Oreochromis niloticus: one gene and its partners. The protein of the gene in region 1 purifies or fractionates together with the protein of each later gene. This does not show direct contact. Links are inferred from orthologs where the notes say so. Each region holds a gene or a part of one and is shown in the gene's direction. Other genes may lie near its edges.

Region 1 (7,491 bases):
TGTGTGTGTTTGTGTGTGTGTAGGCATGTATGTGTATTACCAATCAGGCCTCGCTCTACATCAGGATCTTTCAGTATCTCTGGGATGTTGTGATCCATACTAGACAAAGCTGTGAAAGGACAAAGCACAAACATGAATTCAAGGCACAAAAAGGTCCCATTTATTTCAGAATTCACTCACCAACATTTCTGTTGTCACAGAATGTCTATATTAGAAATCATTTGTCAGTGATGTGAATATGAACCCACGGTATGAACTCACAATATTTTTATGAACAGCTGACATCTAAAAATGCTCCCTGCTATACTGTGTCAGCAATGCCAAGTGTCTCTTTGCTTCCTCTGTATCACACTATAGTTCAGCCACAACGCTCTCTGCTGTCCATTGTGTCTAAATGCCAAACTCTGTGACAGTGCTCACCCATGTTTGCTTCAGTGGGGACAGTCTGTGAACTTTCTGACAGATCGTCATATTTAAAGCCTTCAACAATAACGTAAACACAACCCAACAACAGAAGGTACATATTCCAATTTCATTTGTCTGACGGTGTAAAAGTGTATCCATGCACTGTTTTCTTGAGTCTGTGCTCTTCTTCTAGACATGGAAAACATGCTAACATCTTCCTGTTTCCAACATCGGCAATGACCTAATGGAGTCACCACAGTCAGCTCAACAAAGGCTAGTTAGGGCCAGCAGATGTTTTATTTCCAGCCACTGTACACTTACTCATCAAAACTGTGTCCAGGCGTCCATCTTTGGGGCATCTCGGCTCAACAGAAGAACTTCTCTGGGGAATACCGACTGACTTTTTCCCCGCAAAAGAAGAAACGCTTCATGTTAGCGTTGACACACCGCTGCTATCCGCACTTGACTATGGCTAACGTTTCCCCTCACTGGATGAGCCAGCCAACTATCTTATTATTGACTTACTCCTTTTCTAAAGACGTTCCCGTTAATCCACGAAGGAAGTGTTCAAAATAGCATCTGAATGGCAGAAGCCTGGGAAGACAGGATGTAGCTGCAGCCAATCAGGAGAAAGCGTCGCCAGTTGTTATGGTAAACAAGAAGCGGCGAATTGGTGCCTCTTGCGCCTGCGTCACTTTTGCACCTCAATAAGAGGATACTTCCGCATTTTACAGACATAATTAAAATAATGGGCTGTTTACACTGTAACTACTGTATAAAAAAACAACGATCACATTAAACAGCATATTACCTCATTTATCCTGAAAACACAATCATGATGTAAACGATCCTTAAAAAAAGGAAAGAAAAAAATCACTGGTAAGTTATGTTCAGCAAAGTTAGTTAATTTACATAATGCATAAGATTAAAATATATAATATTTTAATTTGTATTCAAGATTTTTCCCCGTCATTTTTAATACAGTGGCCAAAATGGACATTGCCGGCCACATCTGCAGTAGGCCTTATAAGTTATTTACAATTTAAACATTAATGCTCATTAATGCTATACGTGACAATTTAACATTTGAAGATTTATAGATTTCATCATCGGTTTCTCATTCTGTTTTTTCCTCCTCCGTCTCTGCCCTCCCACCTCCTTCATTCTTCTTCTTCCTCACCTCAAGCCTCCTCTTTTTAATTAAAGTCAAGGCTCTAACACAGGAAAAACATGCATGAACATGCTTTTTATTCTCTGGACAGCTGACAACGTGACGGCTAAATAACAACAACAGGTGGTTATAAGGTAACATTATGTCAGCTAGCTAGCTCCTAAGCGTCACACTTTCCCTTTGATAAACAGTCCTGACTTCATATAAGAGTTTATTGACCGTTGAGGTAAATGGCGGACTGACAGCCTGGACTTACTGCAGATTTGATTGTCCTACAGCAGCCACCGTACCTATGATTATGCAGTTGAGTCGTGATCGGTAAGAAAACAGGTGACGACAATCTGTGTTGTTCAGTGGTGCATTATGGGTAATCTCAGTCTCTCACTGAACGTGCTCCTGTGATGAGCCAGCACATCATTGAGTGGGTGGGAGGTATTATCCACCTCTCAGACACCACCCTAAGGGAGTCCAGCTCCGTCCCCACAACATTACTGGCCTTGTGGATCAGTTTATTGAGTCTGTTGGCATCTGTGACCCTCCACCTGCTGCCCCAGCATGGCACTGGCCACAACAGACTGGTAAAAAGTCCTGAAAATTGTAATACTCATTCATAGACCTGATGCAGTAGCACCGCTATCATGAAGATGATGGCCTCAGCAGGACACCGCACAATCAACTCCCGCCTCACTACCTCCAAATCAAACAAAAAAACTTCTGTGGCAAGAAACTTCAGAGAAGTTGTCAGGCCAGTTTTCCCAAGCCTTTCTGCCCAGACAGAGTGTGCAGATGGAATACACTTGTTGATGTCTGCAAAGTTAAGGACAATAGTAAATCAAATGGAAAGGGAACAGTTCTTTTCCAGTTTTTTAGTGAAATGGACAGTCTCCTTGTGGCCAATACAACATTGCATTCCCTTTTATTTGAACCTCAAATGGTGTTGAGGTATGCAAACCAGAGGCTCTGGAACCCAGTATTGGTACAGAGCCCAGCCAGCACCACAAGCACATCCATGTAAACACCAGTACCTCCCAGGAAAAGGGGGGGAGCTTACAAAAGCAATGTCTCCAGGAGGCTGAGTCAGCAGCGCTATGACAAAACTCTGTGACAAGCTGTGGTCAACAACACTGGGCTCTGTGGTTTTAAATGTTCCAAGCTACCGTGGTTTGCAGACATTCACTGTAACGGTTTATAGTAGTGCAGACACCTGTGTGTTTTGGATCTGTCTTTTTTAGATACTATTTAAATCAGTATTTCTGTGTGCTTATTTAACAGCTCATGTGCACATAAATAAAAACAATGTTGAGTTAAAAGAGTTTTTATTTCATTTCCAGTCTTACCTCAGAGTTGCTTGGATTTAGGGAAAAATTTATAGACATAATTAAGTTACTTAAAGGGAATGCATCTGAAGACTCCAGTTTGGTGCTGGCCACTTTCCAAAACTGCAGTAAAAGCTATAAACAAGGCTAATTTATATTTAGAAAAATGCACTACATTAGAAAAGCAATAATAAATAAAGAGTATAAATAGAGGAATGAAAGTCATTATTCTCGAGTGCATTAATGTTACCATTCAAATAAAATGGCTAAGATATTTAAAAAAACAGATAGCTTTATGTTTAATATCACTAACCGAATATTTAAGAAGCCGTGGGTCATGAGTTTTCTTCTAAGATGTGATTGTGACAGAAAAACACAAAGACTAATTTCATTCATAATTATTATACTGAAATTGTCTACAAGCAACTTCAGCCCTCATAATACACCACTGAGGAACAGTAGATATTAGGTATCTCCAAAAGTTGATTCTGTTCATCTGGACGTAGCGTTTTGTGGGAGAAACGTTTCGTCACTCATCCAAGTGACTTCTTCAGTCTCAGCTGACTGCAGGTTTCCCCAAACCTTATAAACAGTACATTTGCATAATGACTGAAACCAGCCCACTGAGGGAACAATGGGCTGTGAGGTCAGTTCCTTAATCATAATTATGCAAATTCCCATGACCATTGATCAACAATCACTGACCAAAACCCACTGATCAAAGAACACTGATCAATGGCCATGAGTACCATTCACAGAGAGTTGGGGAATGGCTGCAATCACAGCATTGTAAGATGGCGAAAGATGTACCCTTAGGCCCCCTCCTCGATTCAGAGATGGTCTTTCCCTTTTCACGTAGATATTAGGTATTTAGGAATATAGATTTATTGCTAAATAAACTGGCAGGAGAACAGAATATGGTCTATAATGTACCTATTAAATGACACTGGTAACATAACACCTTACAGGACCTTCTGCTCCAAATCTGATCATCAGAATCAGGGACTGCAGGACCTTATTGTTCTAAGTCCTTTTCCTTATGGCACAAAATGTAAAGTGACAACTTCCTGAGATTCTGGTGAATGCACATCTAATTGCGGGATTAAATATTTCTAATGTCACAACTGAGAAAGCTTTTACCGGAATGATATCAGCAGAATGGAGTTCCACCGGATCACAGCACTTAAATATAAGACAATGTACTTAGTTTTATGGGCTATGGGGGAAACTATTGTGATGCAGTCTCTCTACAGCATTACGAACTCTTCCACCATATGAACATGATATCTCTGTGGAAGGCTGAGACATGGACTAAACTGTGCTGCCACGTGCTTTTTATAAATGGCACATTCCGACATGAATCTAACTGGGATTCACAAACACGTCACTTTGGTCGTCACAGATTCAGCACAGAGAGAGAACACCTTTGGAGGACTCTGAGCGAACCGCGTCAAAAAGAAAAAAAAACGAAGCACTTAGACCCGCCCCTTCTCCGTCCACTGGCCGATCGAGCACATCCGCTCGGTCACAGTTAAACATCCTGGAGGAAGCTCAGAGAAGCTCAGAGGTCACAAGAAAGCCGCACGACTATTGCCAGAGGGGATACATATGGCGTTATTGGCACAAAAATAACACCATAGCTACAGTGTGAGCACGCGCTTTTAGCCCAGCACATATTCGACAGCTGTGGGCTTCCTGCGTTCCTACTTCCGGCCACGTGACCGAGTGGATCGTTTGAGGTCGCGCGTCTTTCAGAGTTGGCGCGTATCTTCAGACTGTGAGTGCTGTAAGTTCCCAGCTGAGCACCAAGAAGTCTTCTGCTACGCAGTCTTGTTTTTTAACCGAGAACATGTCTGACTGGACCAAAGAGCGGCGACGTGAGGATCACAGCATCGAGCACGAAAAGAGGTCTGTTTACATTCCCGCCTCAGTGTGTTATTCACAGCTAAACCTTTGTCTGTGCTCGTTAAATGGAAGCCACTGCGCCAGATTAGCTAAACCTTTGTGTGCAAAGATGATGTGGACATTTTGAAAGCTACAAAACATTTACTGTACCTGATGGACCTGCGTGACTCTAGTACACGCAGTGTTCTTGCTAGTATCTATGGTTACTTTCTTTTCTTTAAGCTCGTAGAAGCTAGCAGTCTGTAGCGAGTCTGTCGTGAACAGTGGACCTGACAGTCATGCTAGCTAACAGTGCGGGTAAAAAGGTGACGATAAGGCGTTAAACACAGACAACTGCTAAAGCTAACGCTTGAATACGTTGTGGACTGAATGCTAAATGTAACACACAAGTAAGTGGATGAAACGTGAAAGGTGGTTAACAGCTGTAGTTATAACGTGAATTAAAATATCTGATATTAGAATACGCGGTCCTAAGTGCCCTCCTCCAGGAAAAACAAGAGTCACAGATGGATGATGGTCCGAACAATCGGAAGAAGTTGGCGGGAGAAATTGTCTATTAAAGGAAATGTATGGCTCCAGTTTTACCCACTGTACTCAACTAATCATTTATTATTAAATAAAATTCACCTTCTCTAAACTTTAATCTGTCTAAGAAGGTTCAAAAGAAATCCCCGGAGCATTTTGAAGCAGTTAGTGCAGCTTTGCCATTGTGGAATACGGAGACGTGAAACCGTCATGAGTGTTTTCCTGTGTGGGACCGTGCGTCCCACCGTGTGTTTGCAGTTCTTGCACATATTTGCTGGTTTTGCATTTTTAACAGCCATGATTTTTTTTCCCTAATTTGACACAGAAGAGAATGTTTTTGAGAATTGTTTGCAGAAATCTGATATCAAAACAAGAATGAATTGGCATGTTTAAATCTACACGTTTTTTTTGTGTCTTCTTGTGTAGCTTTGGCCCATCTCGGTGGTCCCACTGCAGGAAGAGGGGCGTCAATGGGAGCCTGCGGAGCAACAGCGAGGCAGATGATATTGATAAAAGAAGGAACGGACACGCCGACTCCAGCTACAAACACCCTGATCGCAGACATGCTAGGTGAGAGTAAGCTCAGTTAATGTGGAAAGTGATAAATGTATATTAATGCAGGGAACTCATAACTGAAAAGCCATGAGGCGGCTGAAGCTTTGTGGATTTTTGGCATTTGTTGGGGAAATGTTTCAGTTTTAGTGTTTCAGACCCACACAGCTTTAATGGCCCTGTTCAAAGGTGCTTTGTCAAATGTAAACAGCGTGAGAATTTCATTGGTCTGTGTAGTTCACATCCAAACTCCAGTGTAGGCTCGAGAAGAAAAACAAGTTTGTTTGTTTGTTTTAAATTAAAATAAATAACACAGTGGTTGTAAAGTAATATTTGGTAAATTATTAGAATGATTTTAGTTTGAATGGTAGTGTTTTAAAAAAATCAAACTACATTATTGCTGAGTGAAGCCAGCCAGTCTCTGCTCATGAACCACTTTAAAAAAACAGCTTACTGACTCCATTACCAACATGTGGCCACAACATCTGCAGGAACTGTAGCAGTAACATCCCTGTGTGTGTGTAACCTGTGGTATTGTCCTCCTAGCTTTACTACTCCAGAGAGCACAGGTCCAGTGTCCCGCTGTGGTCAACAGGCTGACTGGGGCAGCCAGGTGGAGGACGATGAGATGAGGAGGGATGTGCACAGAGACATGCAGCGGTAATTAAACAGTTTCTACATTATTTCAGTTGTCTTTTTAAGCACCTGAAAGCAGAGACTGGCTTCCTGTTTTGGATTGCAGACTCACTGTTTGCACTGTGTTCAGTTACAGGAGGAGGATACTGGGGGCAGAATTCACCCAGAGGGAGAGAAGGGCCTCGTCTGGCTCTTCTGGAAGGTATCTCATTCTCTCACAGACCTTTCAACTCAGAATATTCATGAACTGATGGAACACTCACTTCTCAAACCACACATCCACCTGCAGCTATACAAGTGTGCAATTATTAACATTAAATAAGACGAGACAAAACGTATTCATCCCCAAAATAATGGAAACATGAAATAAAATCAACGCAGTATCACTGAACAAAGTGGCGAGTAAGGTAAAACAGATTGCACTAATGGAGCTCAGTTATATGGTAACAAAAGTAAAGTGCTCAGCATCAAAATATGATGTGATAAATATCATATCTGCTATGAGACGATGAGGGTTTTCTGTCCTTGTGACAGCGAGGCTGAAACACGACGACGTGTCAAATATGGCTTTAACTGCTGTTTCCCCAAATCCTGAACTGATCCAGTTTTGGTTTGTCAGAACTTTTCTAGTCTTACTGACATCTCAACACACTCCAGACTACTGTTACATAGTTACTGTTACGTAGTTACATTGTATTATATCATGTCATGGGCTTTGAACTCATTACTAATGTAGTTTTGTCCATTAAACAGTAACACAGGTTTGTTTAACATGACAATAACCTTTTCATTTTTCAACAACTTTGTGTTTACAATCATTTTAGAATAAAATCATTATGAAGGAAGTCGGGCTCTTTTCGTGATGAATGTTAGTTGTGCCTCTATTTTTGTATTGTGTGCATGTGAATGTGGACTAAATGTGTCTGTGCTTCAGCTGTGACTCCAGAGAGGGAGATAACTTGGAAACCGATGAAGCTGTGT
Region 2 (6,955 bases), on another chromosome or scaffold:
GCGCTTAATCAAATATGATGAAACATGCTGTTGAGGAGCTTACCTGTCCAAAGTGAGCTCTGGCTGCTTCAAAGCCCCCCACCTGCAGTCTCTTCTTGAACAGATCGAAGGGGTACGTGATTGTTTTGCTGATCATTCCAGCTCCACTCCCACAGACCAGACTTTTTAAGTTTCCTTGAACATGAACATAAAAAGTGACAGGATTTTAAACTCAACCCTGTGCATGTGTAAACGCTGCACAATTAAGAGTTTCCACTCACCTCCCGAGTTCCCAGCTTTGGGTCGTGGAGCCAACAACTTTTTAAAGATGTTGTAGAAGAAGAACTGCAGGCCAGCGTAAGGAAACACAGCCAAGAGCGTTGGTGACAGGCCACGGTAAAATGTTAGAGTTCCTTCTGATCGCCACATTGTAGACACAGCATGTCGCAGGTTCCTGTACACCTGGAAATATAAAACTGGGTTTCAGCAGTATACCGTGAGTGATTCTGCCTAAGGCAGGAATTAGAGAATATTTAACATGCTTTATGAATATTTCATCGTTGTAAGACTTGAAACGGCCTTCAATGCTGTTGGTAGTGTGGGAAACAAAAACCTGTGTCCAAATCCTCAAATATTTCTACATTCGCCTAATTAAACACATTTGGATATCTCTGTCCTCAACAGACAAGTGAGCAAAAATCAATACTGGATGCCCGGGATCATTTCGGGTCCTCGGGCGGCATGATTCTGTCATGGAAATCAGTGCATGGGCTCAGGAACACTTCCAGAAATCATTGCATGATCCACAAATGTAGGTTAGAGCTCCATCGTGCAAAGATAAAGTCATATGTAAATGCCACCTTCTTCTCTGAACCAAAGCTCATTTAAAATGGATTTTGGCAAAGTGGAAAACCTGTTCTCTGGACAGACTAATCAAAACGGTTTACTTTTTTTGGAAAATATTGACGCTGCATTCTGCAGACTAAAGAGCAGAGGCACCATCTGCGTTGTTATCAGAGCTCAGTTCACAAGTCTGCACCTCTGGTATGGCGGTGCGTTAGTGTCTCTGGAATTGCCACAACTGCGCCACTGATGCTGAAAAAATATATACAGGTTGTAGAGCGATATGTGTTTCCACTTAGGCAACGTCTTTTTCAGCGAAGGTCCTGCATACTTCAGCAAGACATATGCTAAACTAAATACTGCATCTATTTGTATGTAAAGGTTTTAGAACAACATATGCTCCCATCCATACAAAATCCAGCAGCTGGTCTCTTCAGTTCCCAGACAATTACAGCCTGAACAGCCTCTTACAAAGTGGTAAACAATATGTTATGAAATATGTTTCTGTTATCAAATTTAAAATGATTTAACATTTTTCTTTAAAATTTCTCAGCTTAAACACTTACTATATTTTCTGTACTCTTTAGTGAAAAAATGTGACTTTATAAGATGTGCAAGTCATTGCATTCTGTTTTTATTTACATTTTTCACAATTCTGTCAAACATTGACAGCGACAGGATCAGCAATGATTAGTCCCACCTTGGGTTCTCCCTGAGCTGCAAAGCGTGTCCGCAGTGTGTCCAGAGGCTGGCAAACCACTGTGGCAGAGCAGGCTGCCAAGCCGCCACAGACGAAATGAACGCCTGCTGTCTGGCTGTCATACGGCGTTTTCTCATGGACCAACTCTGTCAGAAACTCAAAACTCGCAAACTGCAAATTGGACACAATAAAAGCAACTGTGTTGTTGAGATTGTTTACAGTAATATAATTGTTCTGCTTAGCCTGCAGTTCACAGTTCACACTTTGTACCTGGACAGCTCCGTAGCAGATGGAGAGGAGCTGTGCCGGGATGTGGCCCTTCCAGAAAGCAGACAGTCCCTCCTCTGAATGAATGCGGCGTGTTGCCTGAAATATCCCATAGTACTTCCCCTCTGGTGTTTTTGAAGACACGCGCTCGATCTGCAGCTACAGGGGGGAAATACAGATAAGAACACAACACAACCTGCATCTATCAGGCTTCAAGAGTTGTGTGAAGAGATTAAGGTTTTTATTTCAAATACACTTTACTGTGTGAACAGTGTGGTACTGAATGCAAATGTTTGCACATGCTTTTAGTACAGTCACCAATTGAAATGTGCAGTTACTGAAGAAAATACTGAAGGTCATAGCTGCTACTTCACTGTAATCTTCAAAGTCAACATGAATTCTCACTTCTGTCCCAGAACAAGTACCTGAAATCTGATTTTAATGACGTCAAAAGGACTGATGAGGGCTCTGGTGACCATCCCGGCAGCTGAACCAGCGAAGGCCGCCTCCTCTGGGGACAGAGGTGCACTCTGGACACCAGGGTCATAGCCCACCATGTCTCTACAGCCTTAGGTTTCTAGAAACTCTAATGAAACAAATGACCAACCCTTTGTTCAGTTTAACACAGTTAAAAACAAACTTTAATTCAAGTTTAAATAGATAAAGATAATCTTAACTGCATCATGTTGGATGATAGGAGCTTGTTTTGTATGTATAATCTTAAGAACAGGTGTTTCAAAACTGTATTAAAGTGAGTATTTTGATATTTATAACAGCAGCTACATGCTAGATGTTATAAAACCTCCAGTTTGGTTTTGGGGGATGGACTTTGGAATAATACACAGTAATATATAACTCCTCTTTTCTATATACTTTTCAATGAAAATGAGAAATGGGTGCAGCAATTTACTGAAACATGCTAACATACATGGGAATGCAGTATATTTTCTGTAGATTTTTTTTTACTGTTCTAACAAGCTTGAAAGTCAATGTTTGGTATGACCACCTTTCTTATACATTACAGCCTGAAGTCTCTTAGAAAAGCTTTCTTGTAATTTCTTTAAGTAGTTTTCAGGAGAAGTTCCCCATCCATGTTTGGGATCACTGTCATTCTGAAAGCCTCCACCATGTTTTACAGATGGCTTTTCTCCTTGTCTCCCTTCCTTAAGCATGGCTTCTTGACATTCACCCTTACACTGAGACTATTTACAAGGAGACTTCAGTGAAAAGTTGATGGATCACCTGCAGGGCCAGTTGGATATCTCGTGCCCTGTGTCGGTCTTTCCTATTTCTTAAGGACATGGCTTTCATTTGCTACCCACCAGTCCAGTTTCCTCAAATGTTTTAAGGATACGCAACACTGGATGATAACTTAATTCGTGTGCCCTTTTATGCCTGAATGACTCATATGCTAGTGTTCAGTGGTTCAACAAACAAACAAAATTTTATAAGCCTTGAGGAATTATTGATAACACCACTGAAAAAATGTCAAGTATGTCTGCCTCCTCCGAAGTAAAATATAAAGAAACGAAACGTGGGGTGGCTCAAGACTTTTTCCCAGCAGCTGTTTCCTTGACATTACATTTACAGCTCCACCCATGTCATTCGACATTTGTTAGGTGTCTGTTAATGGCTCGTTTTCTTCCATGGTCACCATTTATATAATTATAACACAACCATAAAATGCCATAAAGACCAGAAAAGTTAAAAAGAAAAAAAAAACAGACATGTGGAGGACATATAATAAGACCTTGGAACTAGCTAAGCTAAGCTAAGATAAACTAAGAACAGAGCAGGGATTAACTTGACAATAATGGTAACAGAAGCAGACAAATATCACCGTACCTTCATAAATACCACATCAGCTCCAACGGTGAACCTCAACTAGTACAGTTCAAAATTAGTAGAACAGGAACAGGTTTCTACTACTTGCTAGCACGCTCCTAATATTACTGCCGGGTCGGAAGAGATTCTCCAAGACGAAATATCACGTCAAGATAAGTTCCTGCCTCACTGCACCGTGTCAAATTCAGCAAGCAACTACTTAAAACTCACATCCTCTTTTATTTAAGACATCTATAGCGTAGACAGGTGTCGAAAGTACAAGAATAAGGGCTTCGTTTACGTTAACTTTGGGTTAGGTGAAGACCATAGGGTCTGCGGCGAAGGAAAAGGAGAAAGGAGGGACTCATCTTTCTGTTGATACTTCATCTTCGAAAGGTTGGGGTTGCGTCGAGGAAAGGCTGCCTACCAGAGCATACCTCTACCTGAGCGTAGATGTGACGAATTGGCATTAAATAGGTATAATTGTCACATAATTATCCTCCATTTGTTGGTCAATTATTTAACCACCGTTTTCTTTCAGTTCGGGAAAGTATTTACCCGTTTGTACCTTTCAGCGGGCGGTTATAACGCAAGTGTAGGCTGGGTATTAAACTCCACTTTGATTCGTTAGCGTCAATGCTAGCCATTAACGTTTGGTTTCCACTACAGCTGTAACGGTTGTTGTTAATGTTGAAAACAAAGCTACCGTTAGACGAAATTTTACGTGTTCTTACACTAAACTAACGTTACCTAGTTGAATATGGAATATGGAAGTAACATTGGTGTGTCACATCACAAGTTGAAGATAACTTGGCTCGTGCTTGGTTGGGTGTTCGGTGAACTTTTTAGTTGACCTGGGTTGTATAATCCCCTCCATCCCTCAGTGAATGAGCTGCGGCCGGGGGCCAGCCAATTTGATGACTGTACAGGATTTTGCATGTATTGTGGTCACCAAAAGTGCCCGGATGTCTCCGGCTGTGGCCTTTTGATCTGTCTTTGAAAAGCTTATATTCTGCATGAAAACACCTGCAGTAACTGTCTGATTTCCACAGGTGACAGCCCTCCCGTGTAATTTGTTTACTTGCATCTGTAATGGAAAACTCTGCTGAAGACTACCGGATCCAGTCATTTGACCTGGACACGCAGAGGTTACTAAAAACAGCCTTGAAAGGTCAGCCTTTAACTTCTTCATGTGTGTCATTTTTGGACGCTGTTAAAAAAAAAAAAGCACTTAAACATAATGCTCTCTTTTTCAGATCCATCTCTGGTGAACCTGGAGAAAGTATCCAACATCATTGTGGATCAGTCTTTGAAGGACACCGTGTTCAGCAAAGAGGCTGGGCGTATTTGCTACACTATAGTGCAGGTCAGTAAGACCCAGCTATATATTGCATTCAGGCTCCCACTTTTTGTCCACCCTCCCACTGTTATCTGCCTGACACTTTGCTTGACACTTTCTGCAGGCTGAAGCCAAGCAGAACAATGGAAACGTGTTCAGGAGACACTTGTTGAACCGACTCCAGCAGGAGTTCAAAGAACGCGAGGAGATGAGGGCACGCTCTCTGCAGGAGTGGATGTGCTATGTCACGTTCATCTGCAACATCTTCGACTACCTCAAAGTAAGAGCCAGAGAGAGTTTTGAGTTTTAACATTTAGGAAGGGGAAACACAAAGCAGCTTTGTTAAATCACTCCGATTAAAAGTGGAACCTTTTCATTGCCCGTATTAAGAGGACATGCTGCTTTTTTTTCTTCTTCTGTGTCCACACTGCAGATGAACACCTCCTATAGCTGCATTTTTGGGGTCCTAATATGTTCACTGCAGCACATTTAAGTGTCCAGGAACAACCACTAAAATTTGAACAGATGCTAATTATGCTGCTTCTAAAATCTAGGTCATGTCTCATGTAGTAAGGGGTTTATTCATTGGCAGTGTAAAGATGAGCCTGAAAGGTGTGGTCCTAACACACTCAGGTTTCATCCATGCTTGGAGCCACTGGCATTTTAAACAGAGTGATCCTTATTGGAAGACTACTCAATCCTGGCTTTTGTGTAAGAGAAATCAGAGTCAAGGACTTACCACAGTTTCCTTTTCTGTTATGTTGATAATACTTAGCTGCTGTAAGGACTCCACACTGTGTTTCTTAGGTGAACAACATGCCGATGGTGGCCCTGGTTCATCCTGTGTACGACTGCCTGATGAGGTTGGCCAAACCAGACGCTCTAATGAATGAGGATGAGGTGAGGAAGATATCTGGAGAAAGTATTTATCAGTCATTTACATATAAGTGTAAAAGTGCTATAGTGGTTTTCAGGACTGATTGGGGGAGTGGGTTTGTTTTGTATAGTCAGTCGATATACCTCCTGTTCCACGGGGTGTTTTTGTCTGACTACAAATGCATATAAATCCCAAAAGGCCAATAAAAAAACTAAATCATCTCAATTGATTGCTGAAGCTTTCATAATTGCATTTTGGCCAATGAACTTCCACTTTTTTTCTGCATAGTAGAAGAGTCACCTTTCATTTTAAAGGTTAAAAAGACTTTAATAGCCATTTTTCTACAAAGTAGCCAAAGGGTTGTAATTTTGAGGAAGACCTCAGTCAGTTTTTGGCTCCACATTGTTGTGTACAAATGTTTACAAATATGTGTGTATAAAAAGAGAGATTATTTCATGACTTTTAACTTAATTTCAGTTGAATTTTAAATTCTATATAATACAGATACGTGGCAAAGGCATACTTTTTAGTTCTTAATTTATGCTACCACGCTTGTGTGCGTATTTGCCTATGAAGCGCCTACACAGAAGATTTTCAACCACTGCAAATGTGCACCCATGCCATCCTCCAGCATCCTAACTGCACATTGTTTGACATGGATGACACTGTGTTGATTAGTTGAAAAGTGGGCCAGAGAAGCACAAAAAACCCCATCAAAGATAAAAAAAAAAAAAATGCAGTATGAGAAACACAGGCAATGGCCTCTTTTAGTTTTACTTCAGCTCTTTGTAGGCTTCAACTTCACTCTTCTCTGTGGCTGGGTGGTGACCAATAACAGCACATGTAAGTGTAGTCCACAGATCTGTTGTAGCACATAATATTTATACTGCCCACATCTGGGCAGTCCATAGCTGCCGACAGTTTACCCTAACTACCGCAAAACCATAATCTCCCCTTTAGTGTGACGTTCGTTTTTACTGAGGCGTCTCCACCTTTCTCCACAGGTGGACTGTCTGGTGGTGCAGCTGCATCGCATCGGAGAGCAGCTGGAGAAGGCGGACAGCCAGCGGATGAATGACCTGTTCTTCCTCCTGCGGGACGGCTTTCTGCTCCAGGAGAGCCTCAC
Region 3 (7,048 bases), on another chromosome or scaffold:
GAGAGGACAACAAAGTAATTATGGGACAGTTAAGGATATGCATAGCACTGAGAGAGTGAGTGAGAAGAAACCAGAGACTAAGAAAAGGAAGCAACAGAAGAAGAAAGGGTCTGGAGGGGTGTAATGACCTGCTGCAATCTCCATCACGCCAATTAATTAGCCTCTGACTAGCAGCCATCTGGAACAGAGAGGGCACTTTTTCCACTCGGCTGTCTGTCTACCTATCCACAGCTCAGATTCATACATCCTCCTTTTAACACTTTATCTATTTTTGTATTGCTTATTCTTCCATCTGTCTGTTTCCCGTGTGTCTAACTATATGCAGATCTAACTGACAGTCAGACTGTTTTGGCTCTCTCCTCCAACTGTGTACCATATTGACTAAAGACCCTGATGAATCCCTGTTGTACGGCTACATATTCATAAAATGTACACATCTAACGTCACACTCAAACGCACACAAAACCCTGACAAAGGAGTAGCCGATTGCTCCAGCTGCACTTTCTTCTTTTTCCACAAGGGGTCATGATTACACTAAAAAGACTTTTTCCAGTGTTTCTAGCCCTTCTCTGCAGTCATTTGTGTCTGTGTGCAGGTGCAACCAGACTGTGGGATTCTTTTGTATTTGGATGGTTTTTGCCTGGCGGTATAACAAAAGCAGATTCACATAAGATAATCAATTATGATTCCATATCCAAGCTGCATTCACGCCTAAGATCCCCATAAATCAATGCTGATTGCTCAACTAATAGCAACAAATATTCCAATGTAAAAGAGGAGCAAACATTTAGAAAGAGATGAGTAGTTCACTTTTGTTCACACACGTTTTACATCTGAGACTGGAATTTTGAAAAGGTTATGAGCACTGCAACGACAAATATAAGTAGCAAAACAAACCCCCAAAAAGCTAAGTAAAGACAACTTTTCAGATAATAAATAAAAGAGTGTTGGTTTCTGTGAAAGTCTCTCTGTGTGTCTGATATTAACTGTTTAAGCTAGAAAGAAGACATTCAAAACAGCTTTAGTTTTTGGGATACACCTTCCAGTGAAAAAAGAAAGTACAGCAAATTCTCTAAAGCCTCCCTTAAATGAAACAGATCCTTGAATAGAAAACATTTACACCATATGTGGTTAAATGGAAAGGCTGTAGAATGTTTAATTAAAAGAAAGTGCAAAATAATGCCAAGCTAAGTGGGAAATGATACATAAGGACTTTAGTGATCTTATAATGGAAGCTCTGATTGTACAATTCAACATTTTTTTCTGGGACTATCCCAGAAACATCAACCATGTTTTGTTGGAAAGGTGTAACTGTGCTGAATCCAGAAATATAGAACATGTGACTGTATCAAAAGTGTAGTAAAAATGCTACATTAAGAAGTGTGCAATGTGTTTCGGAACAAAAAAAGGTATTAAATGAGTAAATATCCACCTTCTACAATCTCCTTTACTTATTTATTGAGTAAAATAAATAAAAAGGTGTCAGACACCCTGAAATTGGTACAGAATCTTTAACAGGTAAAGTCACTATATTGGCTATAAGAGATATTCAATAGTAGGGTATTGTGATTGACCTCACGCCATTAAAACACATGAAGTTCTAATTTGATCCATTTCTATGAGCCACAATCAACACAACTTCATGAAATGGCCAAAATTAGCTTTTGAATATTTTTATATGATTTGGAAAACTCATAGTTAAGAGCCTGATCAGCTGCAACCTGCAGTTCTTTTGTTCTGCTTTGGACTTAGCAGGTGATTTATTGGCAACCAGAATAACTGCAGTGTTACACTATAATAACTTGCACTGACAGTAACTCTCAGGACTATCATACTACTCCTGTTCAGGTAATGAACAAATGGTGCCACTCTCTTTTGTGACCCCATAATAAAAAATTTCACCAGCTTTTAAAATCACCACTAATCCTAATGCACTAGCTTGTTAAACTGTAATAGAAATGTATCTGCACTGAGTTTATTCAGTTTGTGGTTACATTAAATGTGTATTCTGCTCTTATTTAATTTATTTATGCGCTTCTAACAAGTTGAGAAACAAAAGGGGGATTCTTTAGAGTATTATAATGCTTATTTACTCTTCCTTTGTTGCTTTGGTGTCTTATGTAACTGTTTTTGTTGGAGGGCTGCAAAGTTTCAAAGTCCACTTCAAATTGAGTAATTCTCTCTGGCAGAAAACCGTGCCGCTCGACAGCCTGAAACACCTTTTTCTGCAGGGCTAGACTTTCTTCAGTGCTTATCTTCCTCACTGTGTGATACATTTGCATGATGCTTACCTAACAACCAAAAAGGAGAAAGCAGCAGCCTAACGGTCCCTTCTCTAACTAAAAGCTGCTCTGTTGCTCGCTGCAAGAGCAAATACAAGAGTCTTCGCCCACTTCCTGCAACTGCAGAGCTAAAGTCCCTGTTTATTATATTCATTTAATGGCACCATCCCCAAAGCAAAAGGAAAACCCTTAGTGAGCGAATGAGCCTAATGTCACCTTTAGCTTTGATCATTTGACCCTGGGGCCATTTGGAACTTGTAAGGCTAAAAATCATAGTCTGTGTTGGTTAAAATCACCCGGCCTTTGTTTAACATTCCCAGAAGATACAAGTTAAGAAAAGAGAACATATTTTGCCAAATTTCTCAGTTTAAAAAAAGAGTTGGATCTTGACTCAATTATAACAGAATCCTTCTTTCGTCTTGTTTCATTTCCAGCGCTCTGAAAGTTTAACCAAAAATTTGTCAGGGTGGCTTTTTGGGTATGTTGTTGATAGACGAACAAACAACTCTGAGGAACAAAAGTTCAGCATGCAAGTAATTACAGAAATGGTTAAGCCATTATCTGAAAGCATTGTGCACTGTGTAACAAAACAGCTTTTACGGGAGTCTGTCCTGTCCCCGATCCAATTCTGGTTGAGCATAGAGGGTTGAACTTAGAAGTATATAAACTGTGCGATTATCAGTTTGGGTTTTTTTTGGATGGCAGTTATTTTAGGTGTCCGCACTGGGCCACCCGAACTAATTACAGAACAGAATTTCTTCTGGAACAGGCAAGTATTGGATTCACAAAGCAAAACAACCCACCACAGAAGAATTCAGCATGCCCAGAACTCATTCAGTGGGTATCCCTTGCTCTTTGATTGAATCCAGCACCAACTATAAAGTAAAATAGGTGACCAGTGACTTATTTTTGTATGGCTAACTGACCACTGAGAGCAGACTGGGAGGGTAGCCTTAAAGAGAGTGAAATTTAGTGTTATGTAAAAAAAGTAACTGGAATTTATTTTGAACAGTGTAGCATGTAAACCTATTTTAGTGGACCGTGCTAAATAAATAATGATGTGCATAATATGGCCAATTTAAAAGATTTTTTTGTATTAATAACTAAAAAAACAAATCTGAAAAAAAAATCAGAATGCTATTTGTATTTTTATTAACAGAATTAGGTAGTAGCAGTGATTTACCTCTGTTAGATGTGTGTATATATATATATATTTTTGGATCATCAATTACCCTGGTTAAAATAATTCTCTAAAAGTAATTATATAATAATTAAAACATTTATAGGACATTTATAGGAGGTTAATGTATGCCACTGGGGGAAAATAAATAAACAACAATTAAAAATAAAAATAAAAATTTGGTCTATTGAAAGTTTATGTTAGTTGTGAGTAATTATCTGGAAATTCTGACTTAATAACTCAAAGATTCGAGATGTTATTTCCAGATTTGACGTAACATAACATGACATAAAAATTTGAAACTTTGATGGAATAACCCACAATCTTAACTCAAAGAACTTACTTTTTTGCAGTGTTGGAACCAAACTTCAATTGTTATATCTAAGGGCTGTAATAATTTAAGGGTTATATGTTTTCTGTAAGTAGCACAGAGATTCACTGGGTATGGAAATTGTGGATAACGACTAATACGCTAGTAATAAGCCCGTAACAATCTGTTACTTAACTGCACTCTATTTCCCACAGTGCTCCGCTCTTGAGTGCACGTGTCAATGATGCCAGCAGACCGGACTGAACGTCACATTCCTGCATTCCCTTTTCCCTTAGTGTGGGACGTCGGAGTTGCCACTGGATAGCTAATCCTCTTCCCCCCTCGCTTTCTTTTAGAGAAACACACCCATGACACGGCGGATTTAATCTCTGGAGGCGACCCCAGGTTCGCCAGGAGTTCGCATTTCACTTCGGGTGAGGATTTATTTCGTTTTAAGACAACTGAAGGTGTTTTTCGGTTGGAGCGTTTCAACCGTTGTAACCAGATAACAGTTTTAAGAGATGCGCTGGATTTGCTGCGAGTTGTCTCAGTGAGTGACTTGGTTATGCTGGGATTGGTTAAGCCTCCACCAGCAGACTTGTTGATACGACAGAGTTGACGGAGACTTGTTTGAATTTGTAATTTATAGCCTTTCGGTTACTGCTCCTAAGGGCTAACGCTAGCCGGCTGGTTAGCCGCAAAGCTTGCGTCACCATTGTTACCGGCGATACGCGGGCACACGCAGACACACAGACACACACACCAGGGCGTGGAAGTGCCCCCAGATGTGGCTTTGTTACCTTAACAGGGACAATGGTGTGCAGCTGTTTCAAAACCTCTGGCGTAAACGAACCGTCATGTATCTGTTCACTGACCCTGGTACACACGGTACTAGCATCACAGACAGCATGGGCGTGGTTATAAATGCTAAATAAAAAAAAAATAGCTTAAGCTATAGTGGCACAGGTTGTTAGTGTTCCTTCGGTTTCTGTAACGTTGCGTCATACTTGCTTGACAAGAATGATGGGAACAGTCGCTTAAAGCGTTAAAGTCAATCAGCTGTGCTGAGCTAGCTGCAGAGCAGCACACTGTCTCAGCTGTTGACCCTCACAACAAAGAGTGGATCATCACAGCTGCGACTGTGGCAGGACAGAGGCAGATCAACATTTCTGACAGATTTGGAACTTCTGTCTAAATATATTTTAACATAAACATTAGCTCATACTCCAATGATGAATGTGTTACATGTTATTCATTAATCATGCAGTCGTTAATGAGAAAACTTGGCAGACTTAATATTTTGATCCCTAGCCGACCTGACTGTTGCTCTTTAGCTCACACTTCGGTGAAGTTTGCGCATGGCATTCCTGGGATTCCAGCTGTTTGGGGACTGATCGGATCAGAGTGACTTTAGTGATTTAAGGAATGTTTGCATGCTGCTACAAGTCAAAAAGCAGAGAAAAAGCTAACCTTTTTAATGCAGACCTAGAAGCTAGACCTATTTTGCATGATTGCATTATACAGGTGGTATTATTAATAGAGAATTTTAAAAAAGATTGTCTGCAGTGATGAAAGGATGTCTCTGCAGTGTATTTACCTTGTCACATTACTGTGATCACTCAGGAGACATATGCTATTTCATTAGAATGCCAAGTGGTCAGTCAGGTTCAGCCACTTTCTCATTCTGTACATATTGTAGAGAGACATTTAGACCATGTTCCTTTTAGCTAATGTAAAGTCCACCCATTTGGTAACATTTAGCTGTTGTGAAGATAGTTCAGTCAATTATGATTTGGCCATGATCTGATAGTACATGAGCAAAGACATACTTGGTTGAGATTTGCCTACAGTTCCAGGGAATTCAAGGATATGTATGAAATTGAACTTTGATAATATGCCTATATTACTATCATCAAATAGCTGATCAAGAAAAAGAAACATCTGATACACTATGTGCCCCACATATGCTCAATAAAGGATACTGTGGATTCTTAATACACATTGCTACAGTGAGGAAATATTAGAAATATCCATCCAGTTGCTTTTTCACTTTGTGATATGTTGTGTAGTTAGATTGCTCTCACATTAATATAAAACTGAGTTTTGCTGATGTGTAAATGTGGCCTGAAAAAAAGTTTCATTCATACTAATCTAAGAGTCAGTGCACCATCATCACCCCCTGTGATCTGTTGTCATGGCGCATGCGAATCCTGCATTAACGTGATGAACGATCGTTATTGTGAACTCTGTCCTGGGAGACCATACAGGGACAAAAAAAGAGAAAAGACAATAATGAAAGGCCGATCTCACCAGTGATGCCAGGGTTAATTTCCATAGCAGCAGGTAACTCTTACCTCTGTGTTGTATGTCAACGTAAGCATTAGAAAATGAGCTGGTGTTTAGGGTCATGATGTAGACCTGGTTCCCTGTATGTGCGTGTAGCGCTTTGAAGAGTGTGGAGGAGGTGCAAATATAGCAGCAATGTTACGGAGAGAGTGGGAGCTGCCTGCACAAAAATGGATCATCCTGAGTCAGGCTGTGAAGCAGAGATCTAGCCTTGTTTCAGTGGGGGCTGCTCCTCATTACATTGCTTCTCTGGAACGGATGAGTGAGTGGAAAATGAGAAAGTGAGGATAGAGTGATTACACGGTTGATGAATCAGAGAAACATACAGCAGTTCTGTGAGAGATGACGGAGCTCCAACATGTTATATACTCTGTTTTTGCAGTAAGCCATTGTGCTGCTACTAGTTGTGTTGTTTGTGTGGTTGATCTTTTTGTCAGCAGTTTTGTCATCATCTCAGCCCTGACCAATAATAACCACAGCTCTGTTGAACACTCACCTTTGTGCCTGTCTTTTGACTTTTGGTTGCTGTTCACCTTTGAGGTCTCAGGACTGTTATCTACCCTCCATACATGTTAGGAAACCTGTGAGCAGGTCAGCATGCCCTCATTTGTTTGTCACACCTCCACGCTCGTGTGTCCGGACAGAAGAGCATAGCAATGTGGAGCTTCAATCCCAGCAGTTCTGCAGTACTGCACATGCCCAGTCCATTCCCGTTTGGTCAGTACAGGGACAAAGAGGGACAAAAGAGGACAATGAGGCTATTGTTTTAAGTATACACACACACCATTGTACCTCCCCTCTCGTGTGACATGTGCACACTTTTTTCTGTTAGTCTCTTCCACTGGATTCAGGTCGTTCTAATCGCACACTTGTAAGTACACATAAGAGGGAAAAAACTGAATATTTTTATATTTTGTTTTATGTAACTTA

Evidence for each region.
Region 2: the proteins of slbp (region 1) and mif4gdb purify together in Homo sapiens (affinity purification with western blotting; 3 studies listed by BioGRID and IntAct, with this or other methods). This does not show direct contact. The link is inferred for Oreochromis niloticus from reciprocal best matches to the Homo sapiens genes SLBP and MIF4GD.
Region 3: the proteins of slbp (region 1) and ctif purify together in Homo sapiens (affinity purification with western blotting; 3 studies listed by BioGRID). This does not show direct contact. The link is inferred for Oreochromis niloticus from reciprocal best matches to the Homo sapiens genes SLBP and CTIF.

Annotation. Positions count from the first base shown.
Region 1 is NC_031966.2:2,146,418-2,153,908, reverse strand, and holds the start of slbp (histone RNA hairpin-binding protein), read left to right. Parts: upstream 1-4,379; 5' UTR 4,380-4,741; coding exon 4,742-4,800; intron 4,801-5,041; exon of another isoform or gene 5,042-5,166; coding exon of another isoform or gene 5,167-5,186; intron 5,187-5,748; coding exon 5,749-5,892; intron 5,893-6,420; coding exon 6,421-6,534; intron 6,535-6,640; coding exon 6,641-6,712; intron 6,713-7,444; coding exon 7,445-7,491. UniProt on the Homo sapiens protein: RNA-binding protein involved in the histone pre-mRNA processing.
Region 2 is NC_031969.2:17,398,714-17,405,668, reverse strand, and holds the start of mif4gdb (MIF4G domain-containing protein B), read left to right. Parts: upstream 1-3,937; 5' UTR 3,938-4,090; intron 4,091-4,665; 5' UTR 4,666-4,705; coding exon 4,706-4,784; intron 4,785-4,869; coding exon 4,870-4,979; intron 4,980-5,076; coding exon 5,077-5,232; intron 5,233-5,759; coding exon 5,760-5,852; intron 5,853-6,833; coding exon 6,834-6,955. Other genes in the region: slc25a19 (mitochondrial thiamine pyrophosphate carrier), read right to left, coding at 44-174, 261-441, 1,523-1,693, 1,793-1,948, 2,215-2,346. UniProt on the Homo sapiens protein: Functions in replication-dependent translation of histone mRNAs which differ from other eukaryotic mRNAs in that they do not end with a poly-A tail but a stem-loop. May participate in circularizing those mRNAs specifically enhancing their translation.
Region 3 is NC_031972.2:18,391,368-18,398,415, reverse strand, and holds the start of ctif (CBP80/20-dependent translation initiation factor), read left to right. Parts: upstream 1-3,998; 5' UTR 3,999-4,206; intron 4,207-7,048. UniProt on the Homo sapiens protein: Specifically required for the pioneer round of mRNA translation mediated by the cap-binding complex (CBC), that takes place during or right after mRNA export via the nuclear pore complex (NPC).